7 linked regions of the Macaca mulatta genome follow. The protein of the gene in region 1 purifies or fractionates together with the protein of each later gene. This does not show direct contact. Links are inferred from orthologs where the notes say so. Each region holds a gene or a part of one and is shown on either strand. Other genes may lie near its edges.

Region 1 (3,500 bases):
AATACCTTATTCCCTGAGTACCATATAGACATGATAACATTAAACGTTATTTTGTTCTAAACACTAGTTTTGTTTTTAGTTAACTCACTTAAACTGCTAATTGTAAGCCACCTTGATTTAAATGCTAAGTGCTTTTTGGGGGGATTTTTATATCAACTTGTCAAATTTTCTAGAAGTTTAACCTGACCCACGTGTATAGTGTCAGTGCTAAGTAGTAGTTTTTATTAATGAAAAGTCTTGTTTTCATTGGCAATGTCAGACTTTTAGAGTAGATAACAAGCATTCTGTTGGCACATTTAAGAGTGGCCTTTGTAGGAGGGAAGAGTTCAGATAGCTTATATCTGGATTTTTTTTTTTTTTTTTTTTTAAGACAGTTTTGCTCTGTGATCAGGCTGGAGTGCAGTGACGTGGTCTTGGCTCACTGCAACCTCTGCCTCCCGGGTTCAAGCAATTCTCCTGCCTCAGCGTCTTGCGTAGCTGGGACTACAGGCATGTGCCACCACGCCTGGCTATTTTTGTATTTTTTGTAGAGATGGGACTTTGCCATGTTTGGCCAGGCTGGTCTCAAACTCCTGACCTCAAGTTATCCGCCTGCCTCAGCCACCCAATGTGCTGGGATTATAGGCGTGAGCTACCGCACTCGGCCATTATATCTAGATTTTGAAATCTCATGTTTGTTTACCAGTAGTAACAGGTGTATAGACGATCAGGTGTTATGACAGATAGCACACTTGTTGCTTCTGCTGTCAGGCATGTATATGTTTCTTTCTTTATAAAGACAGGCTCCTGAGTATGTAATGAAATGGGCCTGCAAAATCTGCAGATGACAAGGATAAACTACTAGACTTTTTTTTTTTAACTTGATTTATTGATGAAGACTAGTAAAAACTTATGGGGGTGGGGTGTTAAGTCTGTTCATTATCTGCTCTATTAATACTTAGGATACTTTATTTTGATATATTCGAATGCGTAGAGTAGATACCGTTTAATGAATAAGAAGCAGTTTAATTGAACAAGGTTGGAAACCTAATGTTTCTGTATTTCTCTTTTAAAGTTATTCCTTATTGATTTTGGTTTGGCCAAAAAGTACAGAGACAACAGGACAAGGCAACACATACCATACAGAGAAGATAAAAACCTCACTGGCACTGCCCGATATGCTAGCATCAATGCACATCTTGGTATTGAGCAGAGGTAAGTTTGAAAATGGAATGTGCTTATCGTAGCCACAGCAGAAGCCATCAATGGGTTTTTGAAATATTTCAGTTTCTTACAATGTCTGAGGATGTTTCTTGGCTGAGACTTTGAAGGATGCTTATTAATCATTTTACCTGCTGTTTTAGACAGTGTAGAGAAGACCGTTAAATGAGATCTTTTGAATTTGTTGTTGTTGTTGAAGGTTGTCTCTTGGGGGGAAAATACTGTGTGATATAAAGTTAGAAGCATAAGTGCAATGTTGACGTTTCTTTTTGCAGCTGAAGATAGTACGTATATTTTTGAAGCTATTCGGGACTTTTTATACTTTAGTAATTCACGTTGAGTTTGGGAAGAATGCATTATTTATTTTTGAAAGGAAAATGTTATCAGTATCCTAATAAACCAAAAGTGGGTTGATGGACCATCTCCTGTTATACTTCACTCAAATATGTAAATTAGTATGATCTAGTTTAAAGTAAAAAAGTGTCACAGTCTCTGCTCTCTTCCTGTTTCTTCACATGAGTTCTAGAGTTTCAAGTTCCTTTCGTCTTTTACAGTCACTTTTCGCTCCTTAAAACAAGCATAGAAGTAATTAGTGGGAAAAAGCAATGATATGACTCCAGGTTAAACAACCTCATACCAAGAATTTCAGGCTTAAGAAATATCCATGAATATCTTAATACTCTAGGTTAAACTGTAATGTCACTTTTTCCGTACGCCAAGGCATTACCTACACCTACCCTTAAATATATATATCTCTAAATATATATTTGTATGTATGTATATATAGATATGTATGCATGAATACATTCATATAGATGTTCAATTAGTTTAAGTCGTAACTCCTTTTCAGTGCTCCTGAAGTTTTTAAAATGAGTTTCTGCAAAACATAGGAATGTCATCCTGCTTGGTTCATTAAGCTCATTTAGAGGGTTGTTTAGCCAAATCCTTTTTCTTCTTTTAAAATTAAATTGTAAGATAGTTGTTTGTCTTATTTTGGATTCTGTGGGAAAAGTTTTGTTTAGAGGTAGGTAGCACACAAACTTTTTAAAATCACCTTAAATAAGTAGCTTCTTGCGTAAGACACCAAATAGTGTTCCCTCCTCATTTGGGAACATTTCTCCTGGGTACTTGGCTTTCTTTCATATGTTTTTCGTAATAATATTTCCAGTTTATAAAGTTACGTTCTCTTTTCTAGTCGCCGAGATGACATGGAATCATTAGGATATGTTTTGATGTATTTTAATAGAACCAGCCTGCCATGGCAAGGGCTAAAGGTAAACCAGACTCACGTTATCAGATTTTTCTGTCTCTTTTTTAGAATAAAAATATATATTGGAGAAGATAAGATTTAAGGTCCTTTCTAAGTCTGAGATTTTTCTGAGATAATAAAGAATTAACCTTAATTTACTTTTTACCTTTTATTTGGGAAAATGAAACCAGATCATTTTAGTAAGAACTTAGTTCAGCTGAAGAACAGTGTCCTCTGAGAGACAGTAAGCTGGTACCCACTGGTAGCCACTAGCTCTATCCAGATGGAAGTGGACATGGACTAAGAAAGGTGGAGACTTTCTCACGTTAATATGTTGCCATTATGTTGAAAATGTATGTTTTTATGTACAGCAAAACCTGTTTATCCAGCAACACATGTCCTAACATTTTGTTTCTATTAGCTAGGAGTTTACCATTACTTTTGTGAGTGTGTGTTAATGATAAATCACCGTGTCCTAATTTTGGGTGGGGGTGGGGGCACAGGGAATGGTCATGCTCTGTTGCCCAGGCCGGAGTGCAGTGACACAGTCGTGGCTCACTGCAGCCTCAACCTCCTGGGCTCAAGCAATCCTCCTGCCTCTCAGCCTCCTACCTGTAGCTGGGACTACAGGAACATGCCACCATGCCCAGCTAATTTTTAAATTTTTTTTGTAGAAACAGTGCCTCACTGTGTTGCCCAGACTGGTCTCAAACTCTTGGGCTCAAACAATTCTCCCACTTCAGCATCCTAAAGTACTAGGATTATAGGTGTGAGTCACCACTGTTGGTGTGTCCTAAATTTTAATGGCTATTTTTGTACCTTACCTGTTCTTTAAAGAAATACCTGTATTGATTGAGTGACTGTGAGCTAGTGCTCAGTCCTTGGGTAGGTGGCTTTATCCAATATGAGTATTTTCACTTTAGAAAAATATTGTGACTTATACAGTTAACTCCATTTATTAATGTCACTAATTGATGAACAAACTTTTTTTTGTATTAATCTGATGCCTTTGCCCTTGTGTTGAACATGGGTTAAGAAAATGCTTTTCAGG
Region 2 (4,054 bases), on another chromosome or scaffold:
AAGAAAAAGGCATATTACTGGCCGGGCGGAGTGGCTAACACCTTAATCTTAGCACTTTGGGAGGCCGAGGTGGGAGGATCACTTGAGGTCACGAGTTCGAAACCAGCTTGGCCATCGTGGTGAAACCCCGTCTCTACTAAAAATACAAAAAATTAGCTGGGCATGGTGCTGTGCGCCTGTAATCCCAGCTACTTGGGAGGCTGAGGCAGGAGAATCGCTTGAACTCGAAAGGCAGAGGTTGCAGTGAGCCGAGATCATGCCACCACACTCCAGCCTGGGCAACAGAGAGCGAGAGACTGTCTCAAAAAAAAAAAAAAAAAAAAAAAAAGACACATTACTTTCAATGAAAAAAAATTAAGTGTATAGGTGACTTCTCATAGAAGATAATGCAAGTCAAAATATAATAGAATGCTATTTTTGAAATGCTTTGTAAAACAAAGACAAAAACACACTGCTTAACTAGTATTCAGTACTCAGTAAACACATCCTTTATAAATTAAGGTGAAACAAAGATTCCTCCCTCCCTCCCTCCCTCCCTCCCTCCCTCCCTCCCTTCCTTCCTTCTGACAGAGTCTCACCCTGTCACCCAGGCTGGAGTACAATGGCACGATCTCAGGTCACTGCAACCTTTGCCTCCTGGGTTCAAACGATTCTCCTGTCCTAACCTCCCAAATAGCTGGGATTACAGGTGTGAGCCACCACGCCCAGCTAATTTTTTGTATCTTTAGTAGAGATGGGGTTTCACCATGTTGGCCATGCTGCTCTCCAACTCCTGACCTCGTGATCCACCTGCCTCGGCCTCACAAAGTGTTGGGATTACAGGTGTGAGCCAGTGCAACCGGCCTCTTTTCTTATCTCTCTCTTTCTCTTTTTTCTTTTTTTCTTTTTTTTTTTGAGAGGGAGTCTCGCCCTCCCCCGCCCTCCCCTCTCCTCTCCTTTCCTTTTTTTTTTTTTTTTTTGACGGAGTCTCGCTTGTTGCCCAGGCTGGAGTGCAGGGGCGTGATCTCGGGTCACTGCAAACTCCACCTTCTGGGTTTGAGGAATTCTCCTACCTCGGCCTTTGGAGTAGCTGTTATTACAGACCTCCGGTACCGAGCCCGGCTAATTTTTGTATTTTTAGTAGAGATAGAGTTTCACCATTTTGCCCAGAGTGGAAAGACATTTTTAAACAAAAAGAAAATAAGTTCCCTGGGATCCCGGAGTTAGGTTTGACCTTCCCGGTTCCTCTATCGCGAGATCTGGAAACCGGAAGTGAATTATTTTGCAGGCGTCTACACCAGGCTGTGGCTCTACTTATTAAAGTTGGCGGGAGCTGAGCGATCATTCGGGCCTGGGCAGGCCGTGGTGTAGTGCGTTGCAGGCAGCGCTCACCTCCTCGGGCCGGCAGAATGCGGGTGGCTGTGGCCGGCTGCTGCCACGGCGAGCTGGATAAGATCTATGAGACGCTGGCGCTGGCGGAGCGGCGTGGCCCGGGGCCTGTCGACCTCTTGCTGTGCTGCGGCGACTTCCAGGCGGTGCGCAACGAGGCGGACCTACGCTGCATGGCCGTGCCGCCCAAGTACCGCCACATGCAAACCTTCTACAGGTGAGGACGCGGTCCGGGCCGGGACTTGGCGGTGCGGCGTGGGACTGGGTTCGATTTCCCTCTGCCCCTGGCTGCCTGTTTCCCTTAGATCCTTTGTTCGCTCTGTGTCTTTAACTGGTACCTAACTGAATACAGGGGTGAGGTAGTGGGAGGCGGGAAATGTATTCAGTTAGGTACTGTATTCAGTTAGGTACCAAATTGTGTCTGCTTAACTTTCAGCACCCTGTCTCATTAGGAGCTTAGGAAATGTCACTTTCCTTCTTTCCATACACCCATCTTTATCCATTTCACACGGGATCGAAGCCTGGGAGGGGACAACCTGGAGGAAGAAGCTGACAGGTTTAGATAGCTACTTGATAGGACTCTGGAATTAGTTCATTTAGTGATCCTGGAGTTTTTACTGGGCGCCTGCTATGTGCTTGTGGTTCTAGAAAGATAAGGTTATGGCAGTGAACTCGACACAGTTCTTGACTTATTTGAACAGGCACTGACTTGAGGCCCAAGGTGGAAGCTCTTCATTCCTAAGGGCAAGGATGGATACTGGGCAATTTTTTTTTTTTTTTGAGACAGAGTTTCACTCTGTTGCCCAGGCTGGAGTGCAGTACCGCGATCCTGACTCACTGCAACCTCCGTCTCCTGGGTTGAAGCGATTCTCCTACCTCAGCCTCCCGAGTAGCTGGGATTATACCCTGCTAATTTTTGCATTTTTAGTAGAGACGGGGTTTCACCACGTTGGCCAGATTGGTCTCGAACTCTAGACCTCAGGGGATCCGCCCCCCTCGGCCTTCCAAAGTGCTGGGATTACAGGAGTGAGCCACCGCACCCAGCCCCGGGCAATTCCTTTTGAAAGAGCTTTTTAACTTTTTATGATGAGGTCAATTTCTTTTTGTTGTTGTTTTTTCAGAACTTACTTGCTTTTCTAGTATGCCCAATTGTGGTAACTGACTTTGCTCTTATGTTCTAGGTATTACTCTGGAGAGAAAAAGGCCCCAGTTCTCACGCTCTTCATTGGGGGAAACCATGAAGCCTCAAATCATTTGCAAGAGTTACCCTATGGTGGCTGGGTGGCACCAAACATTTATTATTTAGGTATGTGATTGTGTTTGTGGATAATTTTTTTTCCCGGGATGGAAGAGTCTATCAGGATTTGCGCTAGTTGGGCTGTGTCTTGACAGGTATGGTGTTTGGAGAATGTCATTAATTTAAATAGTTAATCATGAAAATTTAATTAAGATAGTTAATTATTAAATGGTTGATCATGATAATATGCCCTTCATCTAGTGTTTTAAGCACTAGCTAATATAATTGAAAGACCTCACACACTATTTGTAATCGCTTCATTTTTTTCTTATAATTTTTATTGAATTAAAAAAAGACCTTAAACTTTTATTAATAGAAATTCTTAAGCATACACAAAAGTAGAGTATAGCATGATGAATCTCAGTACCTGTTACCCAGCTTCAACGACTATTATATTGAAGTCTCCTGGTTTTTTTTTTTGTTTTTTTTTTCTTTTGTGGGAAGAGATGACTAGAGTATTTAAAGCAAATCCAACTGTTAGATTATTTCACTTATACATATTTCAGTACATGTTTTTAAGTGATAAGGATCTTTAAAAATACTACTACAGTACTGTTATTATACTTAACTGAAGTACTCATTATCTATTGCCATGTTCATGGTCAGATTTCCCTGCTTAACCTAGGGATGTCTGCTTTACAATTGGTTTAAATAGGACCCAGACAAGGCCAGCCCATTTCATTTGGTTGTCACGACTCTGAAGTCTATTAGACTATAATAATCTCCCTGTCTCTCTTTTTCATGCCATTTACTTGCTGAAGAAAACACGAAATTTGTCCTGTGGCATTTCCTGCATTCAGGGTTTAGCTGATTGGATTCCTTTTATCCTCTGCATTTCCTATAATCTGCTTTTAGATTGACAGATTTGATTAGATTGTTTCAATATTAGTCCCTATAAACTATATAGCCTTTTCATCCCTTTATTTTTCGAGACAAGGTCTGGTTCTGTTGCCCTGGCTGGAGTGCAGTGGCTCCATCTTAGCTCATTCATCTCAGCCTCTGGCCTTCCAGGCTCAAGCCATCCTCCCACCACAGCCTCCCAAGTAGCTGTGACTTCAAGCGTGTACCACCATGCCTGGCTAATTTTTTTGTTTTTTTGTATTGTTTTGTGGAGACTGAGTTTGGCCATGTTTTCCACGCTGGTCTCGAACTCATAAGCTCAAAGTGATCTGCCCACCTGGGCCTCCAAAGTGGTGAGATTACAGGGATGAGCCATCCCACCTAGCTTCATCCCTTTATTTAAATGTATATTCTTTCTAGAACTGTTTATAGGTTTTACCAATGATGAGATTGTAATTTCAGAAATTTAGTTTCCCTACTTTGCTACTTATTGATCATCTTTTGATGTATTCGTTCTATATTACAATATTGTGAAAAAGTGAAATTGTC
Region 3 (3,500 bases), on another chromosome or scaffold:
ACACATACATTTTATGTTTATATATACACACACATTTATGTATAAAAAATACATATGATACATATAAAAGATACGTATTTTTCCTTTTCTTCAAATACAAATGCTTACTAAATCAAATCTTTGGGAAATATAACAAAATAAAAATGAAAAATTTAAGACTGTAGAAAAACTTTATTACTCAGTAAAAAATGACCAAGTAGGAGGTTTAGCCCAGGAAGTCTGCTTCCAGAAACAGTTTGTTAGTCATGCTTTTCATCCCTTCTTCTATTTCTGTATCCAAGGATTCTATAAATAATCCAATTAAAAAAATCAAAGTAGGTGTAAGGGGCTCTGATCATAGCAGACTGGAGGCAGACGCAGCCATATCAGTAAGTGCCTAAACTGTAAAAATGCAAATATATTACAGATACAAATTAGGATTTTATTGCAGTCTCCCTCCCCAGTTATTTTGCTGCATAAAAGGATTTGTCATAGAACTCTTTTAATCTCAAACTTTCTAGTACTATCATTAGGTTTCAAAAAAAATTCAACTAACACAATGCTTTTTCAGGAGAAAAATCTTTTTAGATGAAAGATATAAAAAGATATATGTTATATATATGAAAAATTACATGAATGTGTATATATATATTTAACAGTAGTTTGTTTCAAAGGGAAAAATATGTATTGATGCTTCAAAATGTAATATGTAAGGAAGAAATGATTAATTTCTGGGCAAAGCTTTTTATTTGTCAAGAAAAAAATCAGAAAATCTTATATTATGATTGGATGTGATGTTAGCTGGGCTTGTCCATGTAAATAGAAATGTAAGGGATCTGCAAATGTTCAGAATACTTCCTTTTCCACCTGTGCTTCTATCTTTTTTTTTTTTTTTTTTTTTTTTTTTGAGACGGAGTCTCGCTCTGTCTCCCGGGCTGGAGTTGCAGTGGCCGGATCTCAGCTCACTGCAAGCTCCGCCTTCCGGGTTCACGCCATTCTCCTGCCTCAGCCTCCCGAGTAGCTGGGACTACAGGCGCCGCCACCTCGCCCGGCTAGTTTTTTGTATTTTTTAGTAGAGACGGGGTTTCACCATGTTCACCAGGATGGTCTCGATCTCCTGACCTCGTGATCCACCCGTCTCGGCCTCCCAAAGTGCTGGGATTACAGGCTTGAGCCACCGCGCCCGGCCCTGTGCTTCTATCTTTTTAATCTTTCCTTTACCTTGACTCTCTATGTGTTCAAGTGTTTATTTTTCTAGCCATTTCCAGGAAAAGGCACATGGGACTTTGTATTTCCAGAGAGAGTTGAGGGATGGAATGGAGAGCAGTCACATTAAACTCTTGGCTCAGAATGCAAACCTTTATTCTGGAAGCTTAAGAAAAAAAATTAAGAGGGATTAATTTTCAGATTCCCAAAATAATAGTTGGTTTTGCCTACAGATTTTAAGTATCTAATTATTCATTCAACATCACCGATTTGTTCTAAGTGTAAACTGAGGTAGTAGCTCTGCTGCTTGAAGAGAAGGGGGCCCCTGCGTGTTTGTTAGACTTTTAAGGGTAATGAGTCAAACTTCATTCTGCAGTCTCACTTAGGCAGAAGCTTCCCCAAATTTTCCTTTCCTCTTTCCATTTAAAGGTTGCTTTTAAGTGGAAATATTGTTAACAATAGGATTTCCCAATGATTTACGTATAAAGAACCAAAGAAACAGATGGACCAAGTAGAAGCCACGCCCCTTCAGCACTCGTGCCTACCTGCTGTGTCTGTTGTCTCTGGATTGCTCTCACTTTGGGAACAGGGCTCTCTCTGGAGGAAGAGGACTGCTGCCGGGACCGGCTCCCATTCTGCACAGGTTCGGCCACCAGGGCTGCGGACGCCACTGACATGCTCCCGGTGCTACGTAAGGAAGCACTATGTGGCAGGGATGGTGGGGCTTTGGCTCGGGCACCTAACCCACCCTGGTCCACTTTTCGGATCTGGGCCTGCCCAGTACTATTTTGTCGTGGCAAAGCAAGAGGTATGTGTCTGTCTGGCACAGTGTGCCGCCTGGAGAAGTCCTCACTCTGAGTGCTACGTTTAGTGAAATCTTCCATGCTGCTATTGCTGGGTCCACTAAGCTTGAAGTCTTCACTGTTACTTTGGCTTCTGGAACTGGCAGTGCTTAGGTTCTCCAAACTGGAATCTATAGAGGCCTTTGGCATTGCTGGAATTGGGTTATTGAGGTGATAGACAGGGTTCTGGAATGACAAGGGCTGAAGGCCACCTGGCTGGTTCAAGGCTGGGTGCAGGGGCCTTCTCACTTGGGGTGCACTTTGGGGAGTGCTCTGGGTTTCCCGCAGCTGTTTGATGCTGGCCACCTGGGTTATGGAAAGCTGGCTTCCGGTCAAGCGTATAGGCACATCAAGCATGACAGATGCATGCTCCACTTGAGCAGCATGAGTGTCCTGGAGGTCCATGAGGGAGACGCTCCGACCATTAGGAAGGCTACTTTCCCTTTCATCCTTTTCAGAATAAGTCATGCTCTGAGAGGAGGCTTGCTGAACCAGCAATAATGTTTTCCCTCTGAAGTAGCTGTCTGTGTTGTCCTGGCTTGGAGATTTTAGTTTATGCAAATCACTGTAGAAAAGGAAAGGACACTTAATTTCTCTTGAGACAACTTCAACATGGCTAAGATGCCTCAATTCAGGCATGTGAACTCCTCTGAAGGTTCTTATGTGGATACATACATTTCTTTGGAAACTCAGATTTTACATAATTAGGGAATTATTACAATTGTTAGAATAAAATCCAGCATTTTTACTTTTTCCCCAAAAGTAGAGAATAACACTGTAGATACCAACCCATCACTGTCTTCAGTTTTAACCAGGATTCCAATAATTTCCTAGTTAGGTTTTAAACCTTCCTGAAATATTCCAATTCATACTTACTTATCTAAACCTTCAAGAGAAGTTCTAAGTACACAACTGCAAGGTCCCTGCTAAAGGCACAAATCTTGCCAATCCATAACACAGTCTAAGCATCAACATTGTATCTACCTGTCCAGCTGACATAGCCAGCTATAAAATGGTTTTCACCGAGGTTCTCCATGGTTTTTGAATGCTATAACGTATAGAAACATGAATTTCATAAAGCCTTTGGTCTTCCACTAAGCAAGACAGAAATTTTAAAAATATGCTGGGGAATATATTATAACTCTCTATACTACCATTCTAGAAAATAAGTTATCCCAGATCTTGTGCATTATAATGACAAATAATTGAACTGCTCTCAGGTCAGATGAGTCTTCAATTGCTCATAATTTTAAACTTGTAAATTCAAAAAACAGGTTGAATATACTTCTGCTAAATCTGAACATTATATTTCTCTGAGATATTGGTCACGTCCTCTCTTTCATACCTGTCAGTGGGGTCTTCAAATATTTTCTGCAGCCCAGAGGAGAGGCTTCCACTGACATTTGGACTGGAGTTATGTTCAGTGAAGCGTCTCAGTTGCTGTTGTATTGGCGTAGGATTAGTCAATGACTT
Region 4 (4,202 bases), on another chromosome or scaffold:
TGCCTGCTTTGGCCTGTCGGGGTCCTCCCTGGTGCCCCATGCCCCTCACCCGCTACAGCACAGTTGCCTGGGCACTGGTCTGACCCCCCACCCATGTTTCCAGCATACTGGTACCAGTGGGGTGTCACTGAGTGTCTGGGGAAAGAACAAATGAAACTGGGAGTGACCCTGAAAACAGAAAATAGGATCACATGGCAAGAGGGACAAACAGAAAGGTGACTGATACCATCAGAAAGCGTTCAGGCAGGGCCAGTCCTTGGGGTGGGAGTGGCAGGGGTGAAGGGTGGTGGTTTGGACAGGTAATCCAGTGCAGGGCAGGGCCTAAGTGGGGGGAGAGGCCCTAAGTGAGGGCCTGAGGGGGATTTGGGGGTTCTGGAGCACCCAGGGGCAGCTCGGGGTAGTGTGTGGGGTTGCTGTGTTCATGCGGGGGCGTCTGGTATGTGAGGCTTGGTGTGCACACTGGGTCCCTTGTCCGTGTTGGGGCTTGGTTTTCGCGGGGTCCCCGAGTGTACACCCAGGGTTCTATATGTGTGAGGGAGGTCCCCTGGTCTCTCAGAGTCAGTGTGAATATGGCATCCCTGTTTGTGTGTGGGATCGGTGTCTGAGGGCTCTCATATGCAGGTGGGGTTCCCTACGTGTGCGGACGTCAGCGTGTTTGTGGGTGACTGAAGTGGATAGGACTGGGTGTTCTTGTTGGGTTCTGTCTTCCTGAGGAGTCTCCTGTGCTTGGGGGGTTGGTGCACACGAGGGACAGGTCATTCGGGGTCCGCATGTGCATTGGGGGTCACTGCAGCAGAGTCCCCTACAAGTGTGGGCATGGATGTGAAGGGATGAGGGAGAAAGATGGGGAACCCCAGGTACTTGTGGGCATCAGTGTGTGTGTGTGGTGGGGGTCGGGGCCTGGGGGTCCTCTGTTGGGCGGGATCCCCTCTACGTGTGGGACGCTGGTGCGGTGGGAGACCGGTGTGTGGTGAATGGATCCCCTGTGCTTTCGGGGCTCCCAGACCCGGCCCCGCCCGGGGCTCGACGCCGCCCCAGCGCCCTCACCTGCCGCACCTGCCTTCACCAACTCGGCGAGGAGGTCAGAGCTCCGCCCCTTGCGTCGGGCTGGCTTGTTTCCTAGCGACTGAGCCGGAACTTCCGAGTCACCCCAACTTCCGGGGCGAGGGTCAGGGGTCAGGCTAGGAACTTTGAGCCTGGGGTCAACAGTTGGGCTCCTGGGGGTCGAGGCCTTTGAAGTGGGGGCCTCACGGTCTCCGGCGGCGCTGGGCCGGGGTTTCTGGGCACGTGGCCGCAGGGCACGGGCGAGTCGGGGCGGAGGGTCGGGGCGCGGGCCGGGGGCGCGGTCCGGGGCGGGCGGCGGGGCCGCGGCGGGCGCGGGGCGCAGGAATGCGGGCGCGCCGCGGGTGGGGCCGCTCCGCCCCCAGGTGCTGCCCGGGCAGGCAGGAGGCAGGAGCGACGGGCGGGGCGGGGGCGGGCGCGTGAATCAGGCCGGGCGGGCCGCGGCAGGGAGTGGCTGCCGGACCGACCGGACCGCGAGGCCGCTGGGCGGCGGTCGGCTCCTGCTGCCCCTGTGCCGAGACCCCGCGCACCTGGCCAGGTAGGGCCCCCCTCCCCCGGCCCGGGCGGGGCGAGGCGGGGGCGGGCGCCCCTCGGTGCGGTCCCACCTGGGCTACCCTCGCGCCCGCACCTGGGCCGGGGCCGCGCGACCCAGAGAGGGGAGGTGGGAGTGGAGCGCGGCCGCGTGCGCGGGGCCGGGGCGGCGGGTCAGCTCGGACAGGGGGCGCCGCTGTGCGGATATGGACGCGAGCGCCCTCGCACGACGGCAGCCCGAGAAGAGCCGAGTGGGAAGCGGCCCGGGATCTGGGTCGAGCCTGCCTGGCCGTCCCGACTCGCTGCTGCCCTCGCGGCCTAGCTGGAGTCTGGGTGCTGGGCACGGCCTGGACCCTTCCCTGGGGACGCCCGCCCGGGCCACCGTGGACTGGGGTGGCCAGGGTGCGGCCTGGATCCCCGCCTGGCAAGCAGGGCGAGTGACGGGAGGGCTGCCCGTAGCGCCCATGTTCCAGGGCTGGGGTGGGTGGATGGGGCACCCAGCCGCCGCAGCCGCGAGCTCGCAGGGTGCACTGACCCCGTTGGGGGCTGGGGTGCCCACCCCGCAAGCTATCACTGAGCGACTTCCGGTCTGTGAGCCCTGTCCTCCGCACCCCACCTTTCCGCCTCCTAGAGCCTCCGCGCCCTCCTGGGCCCATCGGAACTTGGCACAGGCTCACCCCACTTTGTGTAGGAACTCCGGATCCTTCCATGGGGTCCTCCTTCCAGATACTCAGGAACCCCACTTCCTGCCAGGGTGGAGAGGATGGGGTCCTTGAAGGCCAGCTGAGGGCCCTGACTTCGAGTCAGAGGTCAGGGGTCAGCAGCAGAAGAGTGGATTCGTGCTGAGTCATTGGCCATGGGTGGGTTCCGTGCCCTACCTCCCTTGGGCAAGCGTTTGGTAGGCAAATGTGTGGGCATGCAGGCCACTGGGGTGCTCCATCTCAGGCTTGGGAGTGTCTGCGGCCCCGTCCATAGCCCAGCAGACACGTACCCATGAAAGGACACGATGTGAGGAATGAAGCCATTGGAGGTCTGGGCATCACCCTGTGATGATGAGGGGTGTCTGCTGGGAGGGCTCCTGGCAACGGGGGATTCCACAGTCCAGATGATCCCTGCCCCCATTACACACAGCCTGGAGCCTGGATGCTGTGTGGATATCCCTCCCCTGTGAAATCCTAAGGGACAGTGGGGGTCCTTTCTAGAGTGTCCCCCAGCGTCGGGAAGTGCCCTCAAACAAGGTTAGCAGGGTTGTTCCCCCTGCCCTGTATGGTCAGACACCGCCCCTACAGCCAGGCTGGCAGTGGTGAGTGGGCGCCCCGGCCCAGCCAGACAGGCCTACACCTCACCCCCATGTGGTTGGCCTCGATCTGCCCTAACGAGCCCCATATGTCAACCATGAGGACAATGCCCCAACAAAGAAATGTTGGGACAGCTTCTCCCAGGCCAGTTGGCATCTGGGGCTGTTGAGTGGCACCAGGTATTTCCCATGTCCCAACTCCATGTCACCCCCGGGGGTACCAGGCAGGACGGCGGCCTCCTGACCCCAACATTCTCAGCCTAGTGGCTCCGGTTAGCACCCGTGCAGTCCAGCTGGCCAGCGCCCATCCTGTCAGTGCCCCAGGGCACACTCCTCTGTCTGGGCTGAACCACCTTCCCAGCCAGGGCCAACATTCGGGAACCTGTGTGCTAGGCGGGGATAGGTGTCCTGCCTCCCTCCCCAACCCGAGGAGCAGTGGGATGGGCTGAGCGGTCCCTAGGGCTCTCCTTCCAGGGAGAGGTACCCAGGTAGCTCGGTGACCCCAGGCGTGGGCCCTGGGTGCGCCCCATCTGACCTTTCTGGAGAGGCCAGGCACCCTGCAGGGACCCTTTGGAGAACAGATTGGGCTGTGGGGCAGCCAAGTATGGATGATGGTGGGGAGCCCAGGACCTGGAAAGGTCCCTGCTGCCCTGGACGGGGGGCTGGTGGCAACAGGACTCTGAGCAAGTGGAGAGCCAGATCTGGGCGATATGGAGTGCAGGCCCTGCAGGGCCCTGTGGGCACCAAGGGGTTGTGGTCCAGGGAGGTGTTATCTGAGAAGGACAGTGACAAGAAAGGTCAAGGGAAGGAGGGGGACTGGTAGACAGAGACAGAGTCTAGGGGTCAGTGTTGCAAGGCTGGGCAGTCATAGAATGGGCTGTGGGAACCCAATTGTGAAACCCTGGGGATGGGGAGGAGGTGTCGCCCGGGGCTATGCGTAGGGCTTAGGGTTGCCATTCCAGGAGGAGGGTGGTCACAGCCCTGTTTGCTGCGCTCACCTTGGCTAGGCACGGTGTCTTGTGGACCCTCAGCTGTGTTGTGCAGTAGAGGTAGGCCAGAGAGGTGCAGTGACCTACCCACGGTTTCCCAGGCAGTCAGGGACAGACACATGCCAGCATGGGTGGCACCAGCTTATCCAGTAGGCACAGTGCCAGGGGCCTGTGAATGTCTTAAGAAAAAAGTGAATACTATAATGATGAATACAGCCTGGATTATGTTTGTCTTTAAGCCAACAGTCATAAAATGTTTTGGGGGGCGGTTGGTTTTATTTTCATTTTTTGTAGCGATGCAGTCTCTATCACCCAGGCAGGAG
Region 5 (3,500 bases), on another chromosome or scaffold:
TTCCTAGATAGGAGTGGAACTGTGAAATAGTCAATGAAATCTCTTTAGGCTGAGCTTGGGCTGCATTCTGGGTCTCACAAGGCTAAGATTGGTAAAAGCATATGCATTCTGTTCCCTCCTGCCTTCTGGTCCATCCCAGTTCACAGTCTTGGCCAAGGACACTCAGCTGCTAAGTGGAAGCAGTCAGGATCAGGACTCAGTGGACCAAGCAGGCCTTCTAGGGTTCTCCAGCTTAGAAATGGGGTGGAGAGGTCTCATGGGCCCATTCCGTGCACATTCACATCCCCAGGGTGTGGAAATCCACATCCCCAGGGTGTGGAAAGAACCTCAGGGTTTAGATTGGGGAAGAACTAGACCATTAAGCCTTGTGGTCAGGTAGCTTTGTCTAGGTTTAGGTCTTTTTCTTGGGGAGACATGAGCTAAAGCAACTGCTCCCAGGGCCACAGTATACTGTGTCTTCTCTGGCACCAAGGAGAGGTAGTAGGGCATTGCTCTGGAATGTTTCCTTTAGGAAGTCTTTCTAACAAAATTATCCTGCCATTACCCTGGGTCACGCCATCTGTTCTGTCTTGGTTTCACCTGGAGCTGGGCCTTCCACCCAATTCTCTCCTTCTGGCCATATTCTCTAACTTACAGTTAGGGATATCTGTAGCTGCCCTTGACCAACTGGAAGCTTCTGTCCACCTCTCCCACCGCAGACAGTGGCAACCCTGAGCATACTGGGAACTCGGCGAGTAGTCTCCATCCTGGGTGTGGAAAACCAGGCTGTGTCCCTGGCTGCCTGCCACCTACTGCAGGTTATGTTTGATGCCCTCAAGGAAGGTGTCAAAAAAGGATTCCAAGGCAAAGAAGGCGCCATCATCGTGGGTGAGTGGAAGCAGGTCTGGGGTCTTTTGGATGTTACTGTCATGGAAGGGATGGGGCTGAGCCAGCCAGGCCAGTTTTTTGGGGACTAGAATTGGAGCTGCAGGTTGTTTGGAATACGGTTTGGTGACATTATTTTACTCTAGATTCTCAGCAGCCAAGGTGTCTCAGGACAAAGCTGGAGCTCAGTCTGGAGCCTGGGATGTGGATCCCCCCTTCCCTGTGTCTCCCTGGTTTGTTGAAGTTCAAGGGCCAAACAGGGCTGGGCTGCTGTGGAGCCCACTGATGTCTTCTTGTTGCCAGATCCTGCCCGGGAGCTGAAGGTCCTCATCAGTAACCTCTTAGATCTGCTGACAGAGGTGGGGGTCTCTGGCCAAGGCCGAGACAATGCCCTGACCCTCCTGATTAAAGCAGTGCCCCGGAAGTCTCTCAAGGACCCCAACAACAGCCTCACCCTCTGGGTCATTGACCAAGGTAGGTGAAATAGTTCACAAAAACTTGCTTGGGCAGCTGAAGTTTGTTTATCCTTAGGAGTAGTAAGAAAAGTTGTGAGTGGGGCCAGGCATGGTGGATGATGCACTTTGGGAGGCAGGGGGTCACTTGAAGCCAGGAGTTTGAGATTAGCCTGGGCAACATAGCAAGACCCTGTCTCTATGAAAAATTTAAAAAATTAGCTGGGCATGGTGGTGTGCGTCTGCAGTCCTAGCTACTCCAGAGACTGAGGTGGGAGAATTACTTAACCCTGGGAGGTCAAGGCTTCAGTGAGCTATGATTGCATCACTGCAGTACAGCCTGGGCAACAGAGGGAGACCCTGTCTCAAAAAAAAAAAAAAAAAAAAGGAAGAAAAGTTGTGATTATCTCCAGCCATGTGTCTGCACTGAAGTGTGTCCTTTGGCCCAGGAGGATGCTGGAACTGAGAAGATCTTCCAGAGCAATGGGATTCAGCTCTTGCAACACCTACTAGACATAGGAGCTACCCTTAGGGGGCTCAAAGTTAGACTCTTCTATCATATGTGTGTGCAGATACATGCACATTGAATGGGCCTGCAAGCAGGTTAGCAGAGAGGCTGGATTAGCTTTCTGTATCTTTTTTTGAGATGGAGTCTCACTCTGTCGCCCAGGCTGGAGTACAGTGGCACAATCTCAGTTCACTGCAGCCTCCGTTTCCCAGGTTCAAGCAATTCTCCTGCCTGAGCCTCCCGAGTAGCTGGCATTACAGGCACACATCAGTATGCCCTGCTAATTGTTGTATCTTTAGTAGAGATGGAATCTCACCATATTGGCCAGGCTGGTCTCGAACTCCTGACCTCAAACAATCCACCCACCTTGGTGTCCCAAAGTGTTGCGATTACAGTCATGAGCCATTGCGCCTGGCCCCCTTTTTTTTTTTTTTTTTAGTGAGCATGTATTACTTCCATACTTAGAGGAAAAAATAAAGGTAGATATATCAATTCATCTCTCTTTTCCCCTAAAACATAAATAAGAGCTGGGTGCGTTGCTTCGTGCCTATAATCCCAGCACTTTGGAAGGCCGAGGCGGGCAGACCATGAGATCAGGAGTTTGAGACCAGCCTGGCCAACATGGTGAAACCCCATCTCTACTAAAAGATACAAAAAATTAGCCGGGCGTGGTGGCACGCACCTGTAATCCCAGCTACTCTGGAGGCTGAGGCAAGAGAATCGCTTGAACCCAGGAGGTGGAGGTTGCAGTGAACTGAGATCGCGCCATTGCACTCCAGCCTGGGCAACAGGGCGAGACTGTCTCAAAAAAAAAAAAAAAAAAAGATAAATAAGAAAAGCTCTGCAAAGGCCCTGCATGAGCAGGGCCTTTCACAATGATCCTGTGAGGTGTGGATATTGTGTTCACAATGATCCTATGAGGTGTGGATATTCCTTTCCCCTTAGTTTTACAGATGAGGAACCTCAAAGCTCCAGAGCATTTGGCCCCAGGGGCAGGGTTGGCATGCAGGCCTCACTTCTGAGGTCCTTCCCGATCCTATAGCTGCCTCCCTTAGGTAGCAGATCAGCTAAGCAGATTCTCTGGGCTGCCCTGGACGCAGTTGTCAGAACTCTGTAGCCTTCTTGTCTTGCTTTTCTCCGCATCTCCTAGGAAGCCTCTTCCTTTTACTTGTAGGGGTTGTAACTAGTGTTCTAATTTCTAAATGGGGTGTCTTTTCAGGTCTGAAAAAGATTTTGGAAGTTGGGGGCTCTCTACAGGACCCTCCTGGGGAGCTTGCAGTGACCGCGAACAGCCGCATGAGCGCCTCCATTCTCCTCAGCAAGCTCTTTGATGACCTCAAGTGTGATGCGGAGAGGGAGAATTTCCACCGACTCTGTGAAAACTACATCAAGTAAGGAAGTCTGTTTCACCTCCTGTTGCCAGGGATTCCAGCAAAAAAGTTCTGACTCCTTGAGGAGGGGCAGAAATGAAAGGTTTCCAGCAGAAAGAGTAGGCTTAGGGAGGACTAGTTGGGGGCTGGACGAAGGGAAAGTGGCCCCAAGGCCCACTTCCTGTTCCAAAGTGGCCTCCCCGGGGAGGTTCTTTCTCAAATCAATGTTCCAGTAATGCAACAAATGCCATCAAGCACGTACTGGGTTTACCAAGCACTTCCTACGCATCTGTTCTCACACAGGTG
Region 6 (3,500 bases), on another chromosome or scaffold:
CCGAAGCGGGCGGATCACCTGAGGTCAGAAGTTAGAGACTAACATGGAGAAACCCGTCTCTACTAAAAATACAAAAATCAGCTGGGTGTGGTGGCATGCACCTGTATTCCCAGCCACTCAGGAGGCTGAGGCAGGAGAATCGCTTGAACCCAGGAGGCAGAGGTTGCAGTGAGCTGGGATCGTGCCACTGCACTCTAGCCTGGGCGACAGAGCAAGTCTCCATCTCAAAAAAATAAATAAATAAAATAGTAATAAACTAAATTAAAAAAAAAAAACCAGACCTCAGCCCTCTGATGTAATGATTAGACTTATATTTCACTTAGGCAAAGTACACATATCTCAGTATTTTATTTTTCTTTCCCTATCTCAATATTAAAAAAAAAAAAAAAAAAGCTGTAAAAGATAAGTCCAGGTGTGGTGGCTCACGCCTGTAATCCCAGCACTTTCAGAAGGTCAAGGTGGGCAGATCCCTTGAGGCCAGGAGTTTGAGACCAGCCTGGCCAACATGGCAAAACCCCATCTCTACTAAAAATACAAAAAATTAGCTGGGTGTGGTGGTGGATGCCTGTGGTCCCAACTACTTGGGAGGCCAAGGCGTGAGGATCACTTGAACCTGGGAGGCAGGGGTTACGGTGAGCTGAGACTGCGCCACTGCACGCCAGCCTGGGCAACAGAGCAAAACTCAAAATTTAAAGAAAAAGCTATAAAAGATGGAGACTAGGCCGGGTGCAATGGCTAACGCCTATAATCCCAGCACTTTGGGAGGCCAAGGCGGGCGGATCACAAGGTCAGGAGATCAAGACCATCCTGGCTAACACGGTGAAACCCCGTCTCTACTAAAAATACAAAAAAACTTAGTTGGGCATGGTGGCGGGCGCCTGTAATCCCAGCTACTCGAGAGGCTGAGGCAGGAGAATGGCGTGAACCTGGGAGGCAGAGCTTGCAGTGAGCCGAGATCACGCCACTGCACTCCAGCCTGGGCAACAGAGCAAGACTCTGTCTCAAAAAAAAAAAAAAAAGATGAAGACTAAGGAATTCACTGAGATTTTATGTGAAGTATTAAAAACCATGCGGTTAATAAAAAACTTTTTAAGCTCTCCACAGCACAACCCAAGGAAGCCTGAAGCCAAGGAAGCCCGAGTTCGTGTGGGAGCACAGCACAGTCAAGTGAGATCTGCCTGCCACCTGCCACCTGCCACCAGTGTGGACGCTGCGTGCTGCAGGGAGCCAGCAGGGCTCGCCACTGGACCAGGCCACCGTGGGACTGTACCTGGTCATGACTCGGGCGTGTGTCCGGCTGTCCATCTTACTTGCAAGGAGCAGAGCGTGACCCCACAGGCCATTCTTCATTGCAGACTCCAAAGCATCCTGCAAAAGGCATTCCAGGGGCCTTGGTGAGTTATCGGTGGTGCTCATGTGACATGAGTCAAGACAGGCGACAGGCCATGTGTCCTCACGCAGCAGCAGATACACAAACAACCCAAAGGCCTCAAAAACTTATTCACCATTTGGAGATTAAGACACGTCAGCATTTCACTATTTTCCTGAGTTTCAAAGTCCCTGTGGTAGTGGGTATCTGTAGATATTTGCTGCTTTTATCCATTTTCAGCATAAAACATAAGCACGCTAATCACAAATAGGGCTAACCACACCGCACTGCCCACCACGCCGCCCCGTCCACTGGGAAACACACGCGGGTCAATTCCCCGGTTCTAACAGGAGGCCTCCACGAATATCCGTCAGCACAGACAGTGGCTCCAGTAAGGCAGCCTCCCCTTTCGCCAAAATCATCTAGGGTATAATTTAGGACTTCAGGCTAGGAGGCAAAAATGCTACAGTAGAGGAAGATGTTAATAAAAGCTAACAGGTTACACGACTTCAATCAGTTATAAAACATCCATAATAGACTCATACTGATCAGGCCGGGCGCGGTGGCTCATGCCTGTAATCCCAGCACTTTGGGAGACCAAGGCGGGCGGATTGCTTGAGCCCAGGAGTTCGAGACCAGCCTGGCAACATGGTGAAACCCCGTCTCTACGGAAAAAAAAAAAAAAAGTTAGCCCGGCGTGGCGGCGTGCAGCTGTAGTCCCAGCTACTCAGGAGGCTGAGATGGGAGGATCACTTGAACCCAGGAGGTCGAGGCCGCATTAAGCGGTGATCACGCCACTGCACTCCAGCCTGGGCAAGAGCGAGATTTTGTCTCAAAAAATAAAACTAAAAAAATAAAAGTACTGGCCAAATATGCCCTTTCTGAGTTTATCATGATATAAAAGGACGGAGAGCTCTGGGCCTATCCAATGTCTCTGCTATTCAGGGCCACACATGCCCGTGAGACTGGCCTCTCTCCTGCTTAGCACATCCAAAGCGGACATCATGCGCCCTAGACAGGCCCTCCTGTGAACACACTGTCCCTGCTGCAGTCGCTATGGACCCCCCAATCCCACTGTCCCAGAGCAGGCTCCTGTCTCAGGTCCCCCACCTGCCCTGGTCCCCAGGCTGCTGTGGCCCCAGTCACTGGACGCTATACGCACTGGCTGCTCCCCTGCCCGTGGCCTTTCCATGCACTGCGCCTCTGACAGGCTGGGTGCGTCCTCCCAACTCCCAACGACTTCTGGGCTGTGGACTCGAGCCTGACTTTGTGAGAATGCCAAAACTCGTGTCATGCATGTCTCATCTGAGACTTGGCACACACAGCAGGGACACGGCCCGTGCTCAACACGTGCATTTATTGAATGACTGAAAATTCCATCTGCAGGTCTCCAACACTGGAAATAGTTAGAAGGAAACCCACATGAACACCTCCAGAAGGATGGCATAAAAGAGGCCGGCATCGTTCACGAAACAGCAAGACCCGAAGCCCCACACCGCAGCGCGGACGCTCCCGAGAGGGGCCGTGTCCCTCCCCAACGGCTGCATCGCCCGCACCAGGCCCGACCCAGTGGACACCTGCAGGCGCCAGGTGCCATGATGGGCAGGCGCACCTTCTTACGGCCATACAGCAACAGCTCCCTGAACCGCTCCGTCTCTCTCTCAAGAGAGCTGGCAGCAGCCGTCGGACCACCAGTGAGGAAAGAGAGCTGGGCCTCGCCAGACTCCTCCTCTTCCACCTGCTCCACCGCCTCGTTCGTGAAATCAATCAGGTTTGCTTCATTGGGCGACTTCCCAGGAAGCCACACTGTTCTGTGGTCTCGTAAGAGAAGCTCCGCAATGTCGGTCCCTACCACGGTCTGTTCGGGTCAACAGGAACAGGAAGGAGAACAATGGCTCTCAGGTGAGGACGCATTAGATCATCACGGGGACAAAGCCCCACCCTGGACACAGCCAGACCCACAACTACCCGAAAGGCTGGCAAGGCTGGACTGAAACCTCATCTCATCCCAACCGCATGTTCCCTCTCCCTCCCCACCCAGTCCTCGAGGCTCCCACAGCTGGGCAGGCGGATCTCGCCCTGCTCCGCCAGGAGGCTGAGCATGCAATGCCCAAGACGAAATGAAGACCAG
Region 7 (3,968 bases), on another chromosome or scaffold:
ACAGAATATTAATTTAGTCAATGGATTGCATGCCAAAAATGAGGAAGAGAACTGAAAAAAATACTAACAAGTGAGATGTGAAAATTAGGAACAGAAGGAAAAAAATAAATACATAAAACAAGACAATTCTCTACATGCTTTTGAAGAAAAGAAACTACAAATCAGACACCAAGATTTGGAAGATTAGCTTTGTAATATCCTGGAATTTGCTTTTACTTTCCTGACTTTGCCCTTTGCTCTGATGTTTCAGTATCCAGACTAATGCGAATTTCATTCTTCAGTTTAAATCAGCACATCAGTTAGGGATTAATCCAAACCTTAATGGTTTAGCATTTTCCTAAACTGTTTAATTACGGGCAAAATAGCCATGAAAGTCATTTTTAAGGGTCAATTCAATTTTATGATAATTTATATATTATGCCAGAAGCTTAAAATATGCCTATTATTACCCTAAATTCCATTCTTACAATACTAGGCTGCATTTTAAACATTTGCTGCAAATGACTATATCTTGAAGTCTACGTGATTACACAAGTTATTGTAAATACTCATGACAGATTTACTGAGGTGTAGGCAAGGAAATGAAAAAATAAATTTTATTATTTACTGTATTTCATGTTAAAACTAAATTATACTGTCTCTACTTCCGTAACATTGCTCCGCAGTATCCCACCTAGAGTGACCTGCTTTTGACGCACATCTCCCTATTTTAAACAATATCCTTTCATCCCAAATCTGTAACTAGGACAGTTGAGAGTCAGTACCAAAATCTTTGATGATATTTGAAATTGTGACGGGGCGCGGGGGCTCACGCCTGTAATCCCAGCACTTTGGGAGGCTGAGGGGGGTCGATCACGAGGTCAGTAGATCAAGACCATCCTGGCTAACATGGTGAAACCCCCGTCTCCACTAAAAAATACAAAAAAAATTAGCCGGGCGTGGTGGCGGGCACCTGTAGTCCCAGCTACTTCGGAGGCTGAGGCAGGAGAATGACGTGAACCCAGGAGGCGGAGCTTGCAGTGAGCCGAGATCGCGCCACTGCACTCTAGCCTGGGCGACAGAGCAAGACTCCGTCTCAAAAAAAAAAAAAAAAAATTCTTTTACATAAAAAAGGTAAATGCACAAGCACTTTTTCTTGTACTTTTCCACTCCTCACGTCGTCTCCAAGCCTAAAAACTCTCTTAGGCGTTGAGAAGGAGTCTGCACTGCGGGATGCCCAGTGGAATTACCTACTATGGATGAATCCGCCCCACACTCTCCAGGGTGCTACAACCCTTGCTCTCACCCCGCCGTCCCCAGGCCTGTCCTCCAGGCATTCATGAGCCCAGGGAGAAGCGAGGCCGGGACTACGGCCCCGCTCGGCCTAGATCCGCCTTCTTCCCAGGTGAGCGTCGCTGTCCTCCGGGATCGCTCCTTGCCCCAGCCCAGGAGCAGGGTGTCGGGACTTGTAATTGCCCCGTAGCCCCGAGGGCGGGCAGGAAAGAAAGGCTTTTTCATACTCCGCCGGGAGAGGGTTGGGTGGTTGAGTTCAGACAGGTTCCGAGCGCTTTCTGGCTGTTTGGGGTTTGGCGTGCCACGACTAGAGACTTGTTGTAACCCGTCTCCACTCCCGCCCCCTCTAGCGCTGCACCTCGGTCTCGGGGAGGCGCGGTTCGAGCCGGAATCAGCCTCCCGCCGCCGACTTGACGCTGGGCAGGTAACTCCCCTCCCCTCCCCGCCCTCGCCCGGGCGCTCGCTGCTTCCTGGGAGGCAAACCTTCGGCAGCGGGCGCGGTGTGGCGGGCGCGGTTGCGCGCGGCTTAGGGCGCTCCTGGCCGTAAGTGGGGCTCGGGCTCCCCTGCCCCGGACCACGGCGGGCGGGACCCCAGCGGGCGCAGGGTTGAGGTGCTTGGGGTGCTGGGCGGGGGGGGGCCCAGGGCTTCACCCGCCCTTGGCCGGCGCGGCTGACGGGAGGGATAAGGGCCTCCCCCTTGGGAGCGCGCGCGGGATTGGAAGTTCCCCAGGGTGCAGAGCTCAGTTGCTTTAGTCTTTTCTACGTTTCTTTCATTGTCGTGTGGGTGCGAGTGAGTTGAGAACTTTGAAAAGTTGTCTCGGGCGGAGTCGGTTTGGGTCCCCAAAGGACGGGCGCCGCCGCTCGTGGACGCTGGATTTGTTTCCTCTTTCCCAGTGTAGGAGTGCGCCGAGGACCCCGGGAGAGGAAGCGGGAGGAGAGACCGCTGGGAAGAGTCTCGTGGGAGGAAATCCAGGGTGGAAGCGGAGGACGTGGGGGTGGAGGGTTCCGGGAAAAGGTGGGAGACCTTAGGTCGCTGAGGGGCGTGGGTGTTCTTTAGATCCGTAGTGAGGAGCAGAACTTGAAAAGACAGTTTTTTTCACACAACCTCTTAATTGTACAGGATCCCGTTTCTGAGTGCAGACTGGTAGCGACCTGTGTTTTTCAAACTTGGGTCGGCCTGAGTCTAGGTCTGTGTGCCCTAGCAGCTCTCCAGGAGAAAGTCTGTACCTACCAAAGTTTGAGAACCACTGCTCTAAATCGTGGTGAGTGATCTAGAGGAGGAGAGTATGCCTAGAGCAGGTTGCTCCTGGAACGGGACTTGGAGACTTTTGGCCTATTCTGTGTGATATGTGGGGGGTCTTGCCTGCATAAGGTGAGTGAAGAGGCAGGGAATGTGCCTGTGTTCATTGCAGGGGTCATAGGTATGTCAAGAGACAACAGTGCTTTAGAGGAGGAGGCTGGGAGGTTATGGGAACACAAGTTAGCACGTTGTCTATGCTTGGAGTGGTGAGGTTATAGGGTCTCTCTGACCTAGACGTGGAAATGAGAGCTCAGGCGGCCAGAACACTTAAGAAGAAGGTGTGCGGGTGGCAAGCAGTTGAGGCGAGAATTTAATGCCCAACACCTTATGTCCAAATTCCCATTTACAAACATCTTGCCAGGTTACTGGCAGGCACCTCCCTTCTTTCCCTTTCTCATCCTAACAAGTGCAAGAGCCCGGAGGAAATCCATGACAGAGGCTGAATCATTGCTGACTAGCATCAGGAAAGGAGACAGTGATGAAAGGGACTTAGAAGAGAAAGCTGGGTTTTTTTTTGGGGGGGGGGGGTGGTGGCGGAGGGAGGCTTCAAAATGATTGACGAATGAGAATAATATGAAATAGAACGATGGAAGGTTGGGAGTGCCGGTCTTTGTTGCGTTTGTTTCTTTCTGTCTTCCTATAGTTCCCAGAAAAGTAGAACTCCCCACACCTTCCAATTGCAAATTCCACCCCCTTGCCTTTGGGGCTCAGGCACACGTGGGGGGGTATACACCTATTTAGGGTGCTGGCTACACCCTCTAGAGCCTGCCTAAGGGGCTGGGTGGATCCTGCCTTTAAAGCTGGCAGGCTCTAGACCGCAGATGCTGAGAATTTATTGTGGGAAGCATTACCAATTGAACAGTTGCTGAAAGAGATTGTGTAGATGCAGACAAACCACACCTCTGGCGCTGACTCAGTGATGTCTTTTACGTTTATGCCCTTGAGTTTATGACGCTAACTGGCTAAACTTTTTTGGGATGAATTAATTAATTTTATTAATCTTTCTATTTTATTCCCTCTAGCGTCCACCGTTCTTTATAGTTTAAGGTGGAGGTTCATTCACTGAGTATTTTCTTGACCATGACTCACCTTGCAGCAACTCACCTACTTGTTTCCCATTTAATTACATTATACAATACTGAGTTGCCAAAATGTAATGTTATTATACTTTTAAGTGTCCAGAATCTTGGGGTAAAAAACTGTGATCCCATCAAAGCAGGACTCTTCCAATACATAAATCTAGTTGGATGAGACCTTTTGAAAAGAGGCCACTTAGCTTAGTTTAATTAATTATTGGTAAAATTTCAAGTTATCCTTGTTTAGCTAGTTAGGTAAGTTGCACATCTGTCCCTTTATAAGTTGCAAAATGTGAATGTCCCATGGATGTTTCACAATT

Evidence for each region.
Region 2: the proteins of CSNK1A1 (region 1) and DBR1 purify together in Homo sapiens (affinity purification with mass spectrometry; 3 studies listed by BioGRID and IntAct, with this or other methods). This does not show direct contact. The link is inferred for Macaca mulatta from reciprocal best matches to the Homo sapiens genes CSNK1A1 and DBR1.
Region 3: the proteins of CSNK1A1 (region 1) and RASAL2 purify together in Homo sapiens (affinity purification with mass spectrometry; 4 studies listed by BioGRID and IntAct, counting the BioPlex papers as one, with this or other methods). This does not show direct contact. The link is inferred for Macaca mulatta from reciprocal best matches to the Homo sapiens genes CSNK1A1 and RASAL2.
Region 4: the proteins of CSNK1A1 (region 1) and FAM83H purify together in Homo sapiens (affinity purification with mass spectrometry; 9 studies listed by BioGRID and IntAct, counting the BioPlex papers as one, with this or other methods). This does not show direct contact. The link is inferred for Macaca mulatta from reciprocal best matches to the Homo sapiens genes CSNK1A1 and FAM83H.
Region 5: the proteins of CSNK1A1 (region 1) and UNC45A purify together in Homo sapiens (affinity purification with mass spectrometry; 4 studies listed by BioGRID and IntAct, with this or other methods). This does not show direct contact. The link is inferred for Macaca mulatta from reciprocal best matches to the Homo sapiens genes CSNK1A1 and UNC45A.
Region 6: the proteins of CSNK1A1 (region 1) and SEC16A purify together in Homo sapiens (affinity purification with mass spectrometry; 5 studies listed by BioGRID and IntAct, with this or other methods). This does not show direct contact. The link is inferred for Macaca mulatta from reciprocal best matches to the Homo sapiens genes CSNK1A1 and SEC16A.
Region 7: the proteins of CSNK1A1 (region 1) and FAM83B purify together in Homo sapiens (affinity purification with mass spectrometry; 5 studies listed by BioGRID and IntAct, with this or other methods). This does not show direct contact. The link is inferred for Macaca mulatta from reciprocal best matches to the Homo sapiens genes CSNK1A1 and FAM83B.

Annotation. Positions count from the first base shown.
Region 1 is NC_133411.1:158,474,086-158,477,585, reverse strand, and holds part of CSNK1A1 (casein kinase I), read left to right. Parts: intron 1-1,054; coding exon 1,055-1,194; intron 1,195-2,395; coding exon 2,396-2,474; intron 2,475-3,500.
Region 2 is NC_133407.1:41,170,391-41,174,444, reverse strand, and holds the start of DBR1 (lariat debranching enzyme), read left to right. Parts: upstream 1-1,254; 5' UTR 1,255-1,388; coding exon 1,389-1,585; intron 1,586-2,549; coding exon 2,550-2,674; intron 2,675-4,054. UniProt on the Homo sapiens protein: Cleaves the 2'-5' phosphodiester linkage at the branch point of excised lariat intron RNA and converts them into linear molecules that can be subsequently degraded, thereby facilitating ribonucleotide turnover.
Region 3 is NC_133406.1:35,888,847-35,892,346, reverse strand, and holds part of RASAL2 (ras GTPase-activating protein nGAP), read right to left. Parts: coding exon 3,373-3,500; intron 2,593-3,372; coding exon 1,731-2,592; intron 1-1,730. UniProt on the Homo sapiens protein: Inhibitory regulator of the Ras-cyclic AMP pathway.
Region 4 is NC_133413.1:154,097,724-154,101,925, reverse strand, and holds the start of FAM83H (protein FAM83H), read left to right. Parts: upstream 1-1,402; 5' UTR 1,403-1,600; intron 1,601-2,312; exon of another isoform or gene 2,313-2,453; intron 2,454-4,202. UniProt on the Homo sapiens protein: May play a major role in the structural organization and calcification of developing enamel. May play a role in keratin cytoskeleton disassembly by recruiting CSNK1A1 to keratin filaments. Thereby, it may regulate epithelial cell migration.
Region 5 is NC_133412.1:80,853,810-80,857,309, forward strand, and holds part of UNC45A (protein unc-45 homolog A), read left to right. Parts: intron 1-698; coding exon 699-867; intron 868-1,167; coding exon 1,168-1,338; intron 1,339-3,043; coding exon 3,044-3,215; intron 3,216-3,500.
Region 6 is NC_133420.1:6,037,235-6,040,734, reverse strand, and holds part of SEC16A (protein transport protein Sec16A), read right to left. Parts: intron 3,228-3,500; coding exon 2,982-3,227; intron 1,369-2,981; coding exon 1,271-1,368; intron 1-1,270. UniProt on the Homo sapiens protein: Acts as a molecular scaffold that plays a key role in the organization of the endoplasmic reticulum exit sites (ERES), also known as transitional endoplasmic reticulum (tER).
Region 7 is NC_133409.1:127,437,690-127,441,657, reverse strand, and holds the start of FAM83B (protein FAM83B), read left to right. Parts: upstream 1-1,168; 5' UTR 1,169-1,815; exon of another isoform or gene 1,816-1,819; intron 1,820-3,968. UniProt on the Homo sapiens protein: Probable proto-oncogene that functions in the epidermal growth factor receptor/EGFR signaling pathway. Activates both the EGFR itself and downstream RAS/MAPK and PI3K/AKT/TOR signaling cascades.